Oryzias latipes: one gene and its partners. The protein of the gene in region 3 interacts with the protein of the main gene of each other region in a pairwise test. Links are inferred from orthologs where the notes say so. Each region holds a gene or a part of one and is shown on either strand. Other genes may lie near its edges.

Evidence for each region.
Region 1: the proteins of itsn1 (region 3) and AP-1 complex subunit beta-1 interact in binary tests that used the Homo sapiens proteins (3 or more experiments, as listed by UniProt). The link is inferred for Oryzias latipes from reciprocal best matches to the Homo sapiens genes ITSN1 and AP2B1.
Region 2: the proteins of itsn1 (region 3) and wbp11 interact in a two-hybrid assay, tested with the Homo sapiens proteins (2 studies listed by BioGRID and IntAct). The link is inferred for Oryzias latipes from reciprocal best matches to the Homo sapiens genes ITSN1 and WBP11.

What each region holds. Positions count from the first base shown.
Region 1 is NC_019872.2:25,024,205-25,028,146, forward strand, and holds the start of AP-1 complex subunit beta-1, read left to right. Parts: upstream 1-1,132; 5' UTR 1,133-1,263; intron 1,264-3,942. UniProt on the Homo sapiens protein: Component of the adaptor protein complex 2 (AP-2). Adaptor protein complexes function in protein transport via transport vesicles in different membrane traffic pathways.
Region 2 is NC_019866.2:20,478,062-20,482,327, forward strand, and holds the start of wbp11 (WW domain-binding protein 11), read left to right. Parts: upstream 1-1,456; 5' UTR 1,457-1,623; intron 1,624-2,009; 5' UTR 2,010-2,032; coding exon 2,033-2,096; intron 2,097-2,176; coding exon 2,177-2,208; intron 2,209-2,316; coding exon 2,317-2,410; intron 2,411-2,642; coding exon 2,643-2,839; intron 2,840-3,061; coding exon 3,062-3,192; intron 3,193-3,272; coding exon 3,273-3,439; intron 3,440-3,524; coding exon 3,525-3,710; intron 3,711-3,809; coding exon 3,810-3,929; intron 3,930-4,031; coding exon 4,032-4,266. UniProt on the Homo sapiens protein: Activates pre-mRNA splicing. May inhibit PP1 phosphatase activity.
Region 3 is NC_019873.2:615,965-619,476, forward strand, and holds part of itsn1 (intersectin-1), read left to right. Parts: intron 1-50; coding exon 51-172; intron 173-1,850; coding exon 1,851-1,974; intron 1,975-3,512. UniProt on the Homo sapiens protein: Adapter protein that provides a link between the endocytic membrane traffic and the actin assembly machinery. Acts as a guanine nucleotide exchange factor (GEF) for CDC42, and thereby stimulates actin nucleation mediated by WASL and the ARP2/3 complex.

The DNA.
Region 1 (3,942 bases), on a different chromosome or scaffold from region 3:
CCATACCAACTTTCAGTTAAAGACATTTAGCTTTTTTCTCATTTAAACTCAGTTAAATTATTATTGATCTGCCCCTTAACAGTACAAAACTATTGTTACAGTCTACTGTAAAAATAGAAATTGAAATCCTCCTGAAACATCTTTTTCACAAATCAAGCAATCTCTATAGTCTTCTCCTTCTTTTTAGAGCCGGTCTTAAGGATCTCGTCATTCTCATTTGATCAGCCTATGCACAATTTATGCATCTGTTCTTTTGCTATACTTGATACAGGGATGAATGGTGCTTGGTTCAGAATAGGATTTTAAAAACGATGCCAGTTTGGCTAAAAGAGATCATGTTCTCAGGATTACTGTCAGGAAAAAAAAATCAGCTGATTTTAATTTGTTGGGGTAGTTTTTGCATTTTATTGCATATAATTCTACAAATAAATGTTTTTGCTACAAAATATTTGAAGTTTCATTGTTGTTATACATTTGTTATTTTAATTAAAGCAACATCCTTTTTTTTTTTAAAACAAACCCAACTTTTTATGTCATTTTTATAATTTTGAAGCCACACTGTATATAAGTTACAGGTGAAAAATAAAGTATTGGTTTCATGGATTGTGGTAGTTGACCCTAATGGGCTTTTGATAAAGCTTAATTGATTTCTTTGCTGTTTGTATGCTGTTTCTCAGTGAATATCAAATGAAAAAAAAATAGATTTTTATCTTTTGTGAAGCGTCATTTAGTTAAGAAACTAATGCATTTTATTTTTAGAGAACGTGTTCTTTGATTTTATGAGGATTTACAACACTGACCTAGGTTAGAAAGGCTTTTATGTGCTTGCAATTTAATCTTTAACTATGTAAAAAAGATTGTAATTTGCATTTTTTTCTTTTAAACTATCAATAATATAAACACCTGCAGTCTTGCACGTTTACTTGTTAAAAGTAAGATGCTCTGATAGTTTAAAACAACAAAACAACTAGCAAATAAAAACACCAACATGAACATGGCTTAAAAAATTGTCATTAATTAAGCTTCATTTTTGTTTTAAAATAAACGGTTGGGTCAGAGTTTGTGCTCCAAATCATGAAAAAAAAATTGATTTCATGTTCACACGCCCACTTTTCTGCACTCCAGTAGGAAGTTTTCCAGTTTCCTACGATCGTGAACTCACCATCTATATCCCGATTCTCCATCTTTTTCCCCACCAAGCACAGGACCAACCTACGTCTTCGACCTCTTGGACTATTTTCCGGCTCACGTAACCGCAGCCAGGTATTGAACATGAAACTGTTAAAAATGAAATACAAGTAGATATCTACACGTTTGTTTTGATTATACTTTTGAGGGAGGTGGCACAGTGACAGTCCAGCGGCAGAGTAGCTCCGTTCGTCGGTCGGTGATGTGATGAAACTGGGCCGCTTCTCGCTATTCATTTCAATGTGGAGGTTCGACTGAAAATAAACGCGTCACATACAGTTGCAAAGAAACTGTCGAAATAAGTACCCTGACATTTGTGTAAATTTGCATTTTGACACTTCGTCACTGAAGTGTAAAGGACGATGATGGTTAGCCTTTTTAGCTAATGCTAGCGAAGTGTAACGGCTGTGGCTCAACTCTAGCTAACGTTTTGTTTCGGAGAGGACAAACGGTGAAAAATGCCGATTTTGTTGTCGCAACTTGTAAAAGATTATTGGTTTAGCTTTCAAACCGGAGCGGCGAGTTGAAACCGGAAAACAAATTTGCTTAATGTGCAAAAATTAGCAGCATATCGCTCCGTTGTAGAAGAAGTTAGGGCGTGCAGCCACCATCATTCATTATTGGTAAACGTGTTACTTTTGTTTCTTTGTGGATTTATTGTAAAGACTCCGATATTTCCCGCTCAGCCGTAGATCACTAACTATCATATTTATTTATTATTGCAAAAGACAAACTGCCAATGTTGTATGAATGGTTCTTGCATGGGTGGCACTATTAAACACAAGTTCTCTCCTCATAACTTATTTATTTGGAACAACAAATATTAATATTATACAAGAAAAAATCTTTGTTTTTCCCCACATTGGTTTGAGAAAAGAATTCTACTGGTGGGCCAACTTTTTAACATGAACGGGCATTTATTAAGGTATACTGAATTCAACTCTAAATACAATCTGGTTGTGACTTCTAAAGAATATGCCATTGTGTTTGAAACCGTTTCCAAAGAAATATGCCAAATGTTTAAAACAACTGTTAGGAATGAAGAAATGCCCTCTATGGATGCAACTGACACCACCACAGGAAAAATCTGCTTTAATCCCTCACACTAGAACAAAAAACATAAAAGTACTTGTAATTTCTCTGGGACGTCATTTCTGTGCCATGTACTAAAACCTACTGGACATGTTTTGTTCCCGATGGTATTTGGAGGAAAGGTTGGAGTGTGACCCAAACATTTATGATAAATAATAAAATGAATGAAGTTTCTTTTAAAATAATTCACGAAATTTACCCCACCAATCAATTCATGCTAAGATGCATTAAATCAATTGTACCTTTTGCAAAACACAACCAGAAACAATTGGCCACCTTTTTTGGAATTGTACTGAAATTAGAATTTTTTTGGAAAAAGTGTTTACAATTGATCAGAAATCATATTCACCCCAACTTCACTCTGAAATTTGAATATATAATTTTTGGCTTTCATAATAAAAACTTGGACTCAAATAAAAAACTCATAAGTAATCTTATTATTACATTTGGCAGATTTTATATTCATAAACGCAAATTTTCTTCCTCTTCTATATTATCCCCTCTGTTAATCAAACAAATTGAAATGTATCTCAGTAACATCTCTAAAAGCCTTAATCAAAAAGCTGTATGTTTGTATGAAGGTTGTAGAAACCTGAATATTTTTATGTAAAATGCATGTAATATGTATGCTCCCCAGGCATATCTGAAGATTACTTTGCAAAATTGTGTTTTGGATTGTACTTACGTTTTGTACAATAAAGTTTTTTTTTTAAAGTAAAATAAAATGTTGTATGAATGGGGCTTTCTTCCAATCTTACTGATAAATCTATTGGTGATGCATTTTAGGACTTCTGTAAACAATCTAAAAACCAAACAATGGCTGTTTTATTGTGAAAAACTACACCCTGCTGGACTCTTTAGTCAATATGTTGGTGTGGAAAAGAGTTGTGCATTGGGAGATATTTTCTGGGATTCTGTCCTGGTGTATTTTTGTGACTCTTGTTTAGCATGTGTAAGGCAAGGATCATGCCATTGAATGAAAAGTTATTCAATATTGTTATGCTTTGCACGCCAAATACACATGAGAGTATAAAACTGTGTATATATTTTCTTAAACACTGTGTTATCATAATAAATTATTAAAATATTCTAAAAGTCGACTTTTAGAAAAAATCTGTCCAGACAGGTTTAACATAGTCTGTCCAATTTGACCATTTCTTATAAAACCTGTCTGAATTTGAATTAAGAATGAAAGCTTTTCCATAATGTCAATATTGTGAGTATAGTGACCCACTCCTCTGTTATTGGGGTTTGCTGTTTGTAGCATCTTTTTGTTTTGCAGCTTTTTGCACTTGCTGCCAGCAAGTTATGTTAAGTACAAGCATGTTAAGTACGTTTTTATCCAAAAAGTTAAATCCATCCCAAGTCCAGTTACAAAGATATGTAGTGTTTAATAAAACATATGCACATTTTTATACGGTACTCTCATGTGTATTTGGAGTGCAGAACATAACAATATTGAATACGTTTTCATTCATTCACATAATCATGTCTTGTTCATACTAAACAGCAGTCACAAATGTACACGTAAAAGCAATCTTAAACACTTTCTGCAAATGTGTGTGGGTTTCAACCCAGTATTTTTTGAACAGCTGAACAGTCCCAGAATATATGAAAGTGCTTCCACATCTCCAGCTTGCATCTCCACTGCTCTCATGCCAC
Region 2 (4,266 bases), on a different chromosome or scaffold from region 3:
GAATAATAAAACGTCGTTAAATTTAGCACAACCATGATATGCAGTAGGGATGCAACGTTTCACGTTCCCCATGATACAGTCGAATGTTTTTACACACAGTATGATCTTAGAATGCAATGCACGGCCAAAAGATAGAAATAGAATGAGAACAAATATTTCATCAAAGCATGCGACTTCGTACCATAAAAATGTCTATAAGTCTTTTGCCAGTTTTGTGTTGTGGGTGTGGGTCATTTGGCCTTCCAATCCTAATTACTGACATGTTTTAAAACTAAATACACATTTTTTAATTTAAATTTTAAACTAATTACACTTACATTACAATGAAGACACCATAACACTGAGACTTCACTTGCTCTCGTGTTCACATAGTTGTCAACTGTATCATTATTCTGTGGCCAATATTCTGTGGTCTCCAGCTCAGAGGCCTTGTGGTGGAGGGGTTGTGGTGGAGGTTGTGAGTTCAAATCCACCGCTGAGTCAGATCAAAGACTTTGAAAATGGGACCCAATAACTTCCTGCTCAACACCCAGCATGAAGCGGTTGAATTGGAGGGTTAAACTACCAAATTGTCCTTGATAACATTGTTCCGGAGAACGAATTTCCCCCACCTTGGTGCATGGCAGCTAATGGGACTTTAAAGAAACAGCTGATTTACCACAACCCTTACACTCCTCTTACACCTCCCCACCACAAACACACAACAAAACGATGAAGACGTGGGAGCTCAAAGCCTTCTTCTTCAATGATGTTCTGGTGTATGGCAGCATCATTGGGAAGGTTATCCGTTTAGATGAGCAGCTTCCCCATCTGCATCAGTCAGAAAGAGAAAATGAGCTGTCACAGTTAACCTGAATCTTAACTAAACCTAAGAGCAACAGTTCAATTCCATGTAAACAATACTACTAGCTCTCAGCCAGAAAGGCCAAGTGGGCCCCATATGGTTTAAAAGTGAGCAGAAAATGTGGGCAATTGTCTGCAGTTTCTGTGGTGGCCTCACATTGGCTTAAGTGGGCATTCGGTGAACTGGTCCACTTTTTCTGCCCACTTTTAAACATATTTTGCCCACTTGGCCTTTCTGGCTGGAATCGGTGCTTGTTATTGTCATTGCTTGAAAAATATGTCATTCTATTTTTTAAAAATGTTTTAAACATCACATCATCATGCATTTTTTCATATTGTTAATATTAGTACTCGGTAGTTAGCAATGGCAGTATATTGTGTTTCCATTCTCTTAAAATGGCAAAAAACAATCAAACAAACACACATTTTAATAAATAAAATACTTTATAAATATTTTATTTTGTCAGGCAAATACTAAAGGTCGGCATTTGATTACAAAAAAGAAGATGTTTGGCCATAAAATTAGCAAATAACAAAAACTTTCAAACAAACTAAAAATACTCAACAAAAAGTATCTTATTTTGAAATTTTATGACGTCAAAATCGTGTTTCCGCTTTTGCCCGCGCCAGTAAACATGGCGGACGGCTAACGTTGCATTCATACACATTTAGCCCTAAAGTGTTGGGTTTTCTTTCGGTTGTGGCTTTATTTTTTTGCTTTAGGTGTCACGGAGAGCGTGACAAACCCATCGTGGTCCACCAGGTTTTCCTGAAGTAAAGGTAGAGGCGGCGTTGACTAATTTGTTGCAGTTGATGCTAAAACGGGCGTAGCCACAAGTGCAAGCTAACGCGCTAAGCTAGCGAATCTCTGCTGGAGTCCAAGCTTTTTGCTTCGATATGCTTTGCCAGCAGCCTGAATTCCTTCTTTGTTTTACCAAATTATGTAAAAATAAGAGCCAAGAGTTCCGTGTTTACCTGCTAGCTCAACTATTATAAAGAGAAACAGTTAAACTTCCTTCAAATATTAATTTAGCTTTGTGGGATCATAAAACTTACCATCAGTTTGGTATAAAACAGTAACATCAAGGCACTCTAACCACATTTTAGAATATGATTGTAGTTTTTGTTTGTTTACCTCATTACATCGTTTATTCTGCACTGGTTAGGTTAAACGAGACTGACCGCAACAATGGGGCGACGTTCAACCTCCTCCACCAAGAGTGGGAAGTTCATGAATCCCACCGACCAGGCCAGTAAGTACCGACCCGTGCGAGCAGTGATGATCAGATCCAGTCAACATGACTCATTTGTGTTTGTGTTACCTACCTTACAGGGAAAGAGGCGAGGAAAAGGGAGTTAAAAAAGGTACTTGGACTGTTAAGCTGAATATTTGTTGGCTTTTTTTATTCATTCATTTTTTTTTTCTAAACAATTTTATTCTGGATTGCATTTCTTTGCTTTTTCTTTGCACAGAACAAGAAGCAGAGGATGATGGTAAGAGCAGCAGTGTTGAAAATGAAGGATCCCAGACAGATCATCAGAGATATGGAGAAGCTAGATGAGATGGGTAAGCAGCTCCTATTTGCTTTTTTCACTTTATTTTACATCTTTAACCTCCTAGAACCCAAGTTAATCTTTGAGCTGACTCTCTACACACATAGTCATGTAGCCTCAGTTAAGCAGAATTAACTACTGCGGTATTATAACCCATAAATTGATGTCCATGCATGTGGATAAGCTTTTGAGTCACTCTCCATCCTAATTTAAAATAACATTTTGATTCTTTTTCTTGTCTGCAGAGTTTAACCCAGTTCAACAGCCTCTGCTGAATGAGAAAGTACTGAGGGACAAGAGGAAGAAGCTGCGTGAGACATTTGAGCGCATCATCCATTTGTACGAGAGGGAGAACCCGGAAACTTACAAGGAGCTGCGCAAACTGGAACTGGACTACGAGACCAAGCGAGGCCAGCTGGCTCTTTATTTTGATTCAGTGAAGGTAGCTTTAGTTCTTCCTGATCCTTTTTCCTTCCTTTGTTCACTTAAAGATCCTTTATTCTTTTCTTAAAGTATTAATTACCTTTTGAAAAATTTTAAATTAGGTTTTACCTCCAAGTCACACACACAGTTTGGTTTATTTCAAGTCTTTTTGGCTTTTTTTTTTTTTTTTTTTTTTTTTTTTTCTAGTTGCAGGTGTTAATATTTGCATTTTTTCCTCCAGAATGCCGAGTCAGTGGAGGTCGACAGTATTCCTTTACCTGACATGCCCCACGCTCCTTCAAATATTCACATCCAAGACATCCCATTGCCAGGGGCGCAGCCTCCCTCCATTCTGAAGAAGACCCCTTTTGGGTTGGTTTTGTTCAAGTTTCTCTTCCTGCATTCTGTGGGATGTAATATGTTATTTATTGTTCTCATTTTGTTTTTCATAGCAAGCCACTTCTTTCTTCATCCACTGGACCGGTGATGGCATCAGTACCTGGTGTCCCGCGTTTACCTCCAGGAAAGAAGCCACCAGGGCCCCCACCTGGACCCCCACCTCCTCAGGTCCTGGCTCTCTATGGAATTCCTTCTCGGAGAGCTTACAGCACAAAAGCCGGTAACATTCAGACACATCTATGTCAGTGTGTGTGTGTTTTTTTTAAATCTCCTGCTCCTCTTACCTTTTCTTTTTCTCTGCAAAGAATCCTCCATTCCTGGTTTAGATAGAGACGTGGAAATGGAAAGGGATCAGGACAGTGGCAGTGAGAGCGACAGAGATGACCGGGACGATGACAGCGACTCTGAGGAAGACAGCGAGGAAGAGCGAGAAGGAGGGGACAACGAGCGGCAAGATGACGACAAAAAGAGGGAGGAGAACAAAGACAGAGGTAAAAAAAAAGGAAACAAAGATGCTGATCAGCATCCCTGAGTGCATTTTTTTTAATATAATGTCTTGTGTTTTTTTCTCCGGCTCGTATTCCCGGCAGGTCGGAGTGTGCGTTTTGCAGACATGCCAGCGGAAGGAGATGGGAAGAAAAAGAAGAAAAGAGTTGTGAAAAAGAGCAAAGCCATCACTCCTCTGCAGGCCATGATGTTGAGGATGGCAGGTGAGGACGAGGGCCACATCCACATCTCTACAGCATTACAGCTGCCTTTTATTCTCAATATATTTAAATATTTATATCTATTCGCTGCTTTTCTCTTCTCAGGTCAGTCGATTCCTGAGGAGGATGAAGACGAAGAAGAAGAGGAAGAATATACGGATGGATCTGACAGCTCTGACACAGAGGAGAGGGGATCAAAGGGAGAAAAGCAGCCTCATTCTTTGGCTGGTCAGAATCTGCCTCCTACTGCCGGAAATGTGGCACAGCAAGGTCCTCCACCCATGCAAGGTCCTCCAATGACTGGACCTCCACCTCTCGGCCCACCTCCAGCTCCTCCAAT
Region 3 (3,512 bases):
GCATAGATCTTGGAACTCATCAGTCACGATGTTCCTGCTTGTTCTTTCAGAGATTGCTCAGGTGATCGCCCCCTACACTGCAACAGGGCCAGAGCAGCTGACACTGGCTCCGGGACAGCTGATCCTCATTAGGAAGAAGAATCCAGGGGGTTGGTGGGAGGGTGAGCTGCAGGTAACTAGACTGAACTTCAGTAGAGACGTTTCTGTTACAAGGGTACACTCCATACGTATTAGGATGAACACAATAGCAGAAAAAAGCTTAGAGGTTATAATGATATGAAAAACTCTGTTCAGGAAGGACCTTCTCCACCATGACATGCCGTCAACTTGTTCTTCAGAGCTGCTGGTCTTAACAGGTTTATTCAGAAAACATTTCTTCTCCCTGAACAGCAAATGCTACTTTAAGGACAATGAAGTCACATTCTGAACAGTGAGTACAGATGGTTTAAAAAGGAGTCACTCACTGGCCACTTTATCAGGTCCACCTTGCTAGGACCGGGTTGGACCCCCTTTTGCCTTCAGAACTGCCTTAATCCTTGGTGGCAGAGATTCAATCATTGTCATGTTCAAGAAACCAGTCTGAGATGATTCCAGACTAGCGCTTTATCCGTCTGGATGTAGCCATCAGAAGATGGGAGACTGTGGTCAGAAAGGGATGGACATGGTCAGCAACAATACTGGAGGCTGTGGTGTTGGAACCATCCTCAATTGGTACTAAGAGCCTCAAAGAGACCCAAGAAAATATCTCCCACACCATGATACTACCACCACCACCAGCCCTATATGCTTATACAAGGCAGGATGGCTCCATGCTTTTATGTTGTTGACGCCAATTTCTGACCCTACAATCCAAACGTTGCAACAGAAATGGAGACTCATCAGACCAGAAACAGTTTTTCCAATCTTCTGTGGTCCAGTTTTGGTGAGTCTGTGTGAATTGTAGCCTCAGTTTCCTGTTCTTAGCTGACAGGAGTGGCATCCAGTTTGGTCTTTTGCTGCTTTAGTCCATCTGCTTCAAGGTTGGAGGTGTTGTGTGTTCAGAGATGCTCTTCTGGAGACCTCAGTAACCAGTTCTTCTTTAAGTTCCTGTTGTCTTTCTATCAGCTGGAACCGGTCTGGCCATTCCCCTCTGACCTCTGGCATCAACAAGGCCTTTCCGCCCACTGAACTGCCGCTCACTGGCCACATTCAGTCACTTCAGTCACCTTTTTTCCCCAGTCTGAGGCTCAGTTTGAACTGCAGCAGACTGTCTTGACCGTGACTAAATGCCTAAATGTAATGAGTTCTGCTGCTGCTGTGTGATTGGCTGATTAGAAATGGCCTTAATGAGAAGTTGGACAGGTGTGCCGGTGAGTGTATGTCTAAACGGAGAAACCTTCCCTCAAGTCTGAAACATATTTTGTCATTAAGCTACTATTCTGTTTGAAATCTCAGCCAAAGAAAGTGGGGTGTAATTTACAACTGACACAAATAAACAAAGCCCCATCCACTCAGTCTATGGTACTTCAGCTGATGATTCTGACGTGAATGTCTATATTCTTATGTGCTGAAGTGTGCTCATCACTTCAAAGCATCAGCTTTTCAACAATAGCAACATCTGCAGACCACACACACACACACACACAGACACACAGCAGATAGGACCATAACAGATACTGGAATGATACATGAAAAATCTCCAATACCACCAAAAGTCCAGCTGCTCTGAAGAATTCGTAAAGGTTTTTTTTTTTTTTTCAAAAGACAACGATTAGGTTTGTAATGATTAAAACAAACTGTCCACATTGCAGCTTTGGTTGTTGACGTGCATTTAATAAACAACCACAATGACAAATCTTCTCTGGGTGCAGGCTCGAGGGAAAAAGAGACAGATAGGCTGGTTTCCTGCCAATTATGTCAAGCTGCTGAGCCCCAGCACCAGCAAGACCACTCCCACTGAGCCAAATGCCTCCAAACTGGCCCCTCCCACCACAGGTACACATTCTGACAGTTACAGGGTTTAGCCCTGCATAACCCATTGTTTGACTCAAAAAGAAAGTGGATTTGTGTGAACACCGCTGACATGTAGCTACAGTTAAAACATGCCAAACACTTTACATAAAACACAATTATTTGTCCACCTCAGTTTCTTTAAGAAACCATTAACCTAAAATGAAATTACCTGAAACCGACAGCTAAAAATATTTGGAAAAATTAACAAAAAATCACTTTGATTTGATTTCTTGTTCAACTGATTCAACAAATTAACAGTCTTGGTCAAAAAGGATTTTTTTAAAACAGTTTTTAAATAAAAGATGGGTAACATGCAGGTGTTTCCTTAGCATAACAAGTGTTCTCAAGCCTGCAATCAGTTTGCTGGTCTTACAACAACCTCTTAGCTGTTTGGTAACATATTGTGTATCACACCAGGAAAAGACCACTGACAGACTAGTTTGTTTGGATATTTAAGAGAAAATCTTGAATGTGATAGACCTCCCAAAGACATTCAAGGTCACAGCTGAGCTGAAATTAAAGATCTCTAAATGTGTGCTATGATGTTCTAAAGCAGTGGTCCCAAACACTTTTGAGGAACTTTGTGACAACCTGCACACAATAAAACAAAAATAATGTTAACATACATTATTTCTGTTTTATTTTCTGATTCTGAAAGGAGTTTTATTTTGGAAAACCACCAGATTCTGTCCCCCACGTTTGTCGTTTGACTTACTATTGACACATGCCAAGACGTTGGTCACAGATCTCAGATATATTTGCTACCTTCTTGAAGCGACTGCTCTGATCGCTAACTAAGAGCCCACAGCTAGCAAAGTTAACAAATCCAAATGTCTTAAGAGAGTTTCTCTGGGCAGAAGAGAGCAAGTGAGGAACTTGAAGAAGTGCTTTCAAATTCAAAGAAAAAAATCATCTGCATTTAACATAAGACTTAATTAAATTATGGATTTTTTGCAAGACTTGTTTCCATACCCCAAGCTTATTCCTCTGCACAATATGCAGCAACCAACTCCCTTATGTTACAAATATGCTGCTAATAAAGTTGCAAATAAAAGTTTTATAATGGTATCATTTTATTTTGTAGTTTTTGTCCCTCCAAACCTTAAAAGTCAGATGAGGCTAAAGTTGGTGTTCAGTGGCTAGCAGGTTAAAGGTAAATCTAGGTTTGGCACAAAACCTAGACTACAAAGAAAGTTTAAACCGACTACATTGTACAGAGAACAAAGATGCTGATTTATGGAAACTTGCCAAAAGGTCATTTAAGAATTTTCCAACAGCAAAGCTAAGTAAAGAAGGTACCTGTTAAGAAACTTTACCACAGATAGGACTGCTCTATATTAAAGAGAAATCAGTATTTCAAGATTTAATAAAAAAAACTAGATATAAAGCATTATCTGAGTTACTGCAAGTGTGAATGCTGTAAGCAGAATGTGGCTGCTAAAGAGCCTGAGGCCCCTAGGGAAGTGGGGAAAAGGCAGTTTTCCCAAGCTCTGTGCAGATCCTGGGAACAAAGAGGACAA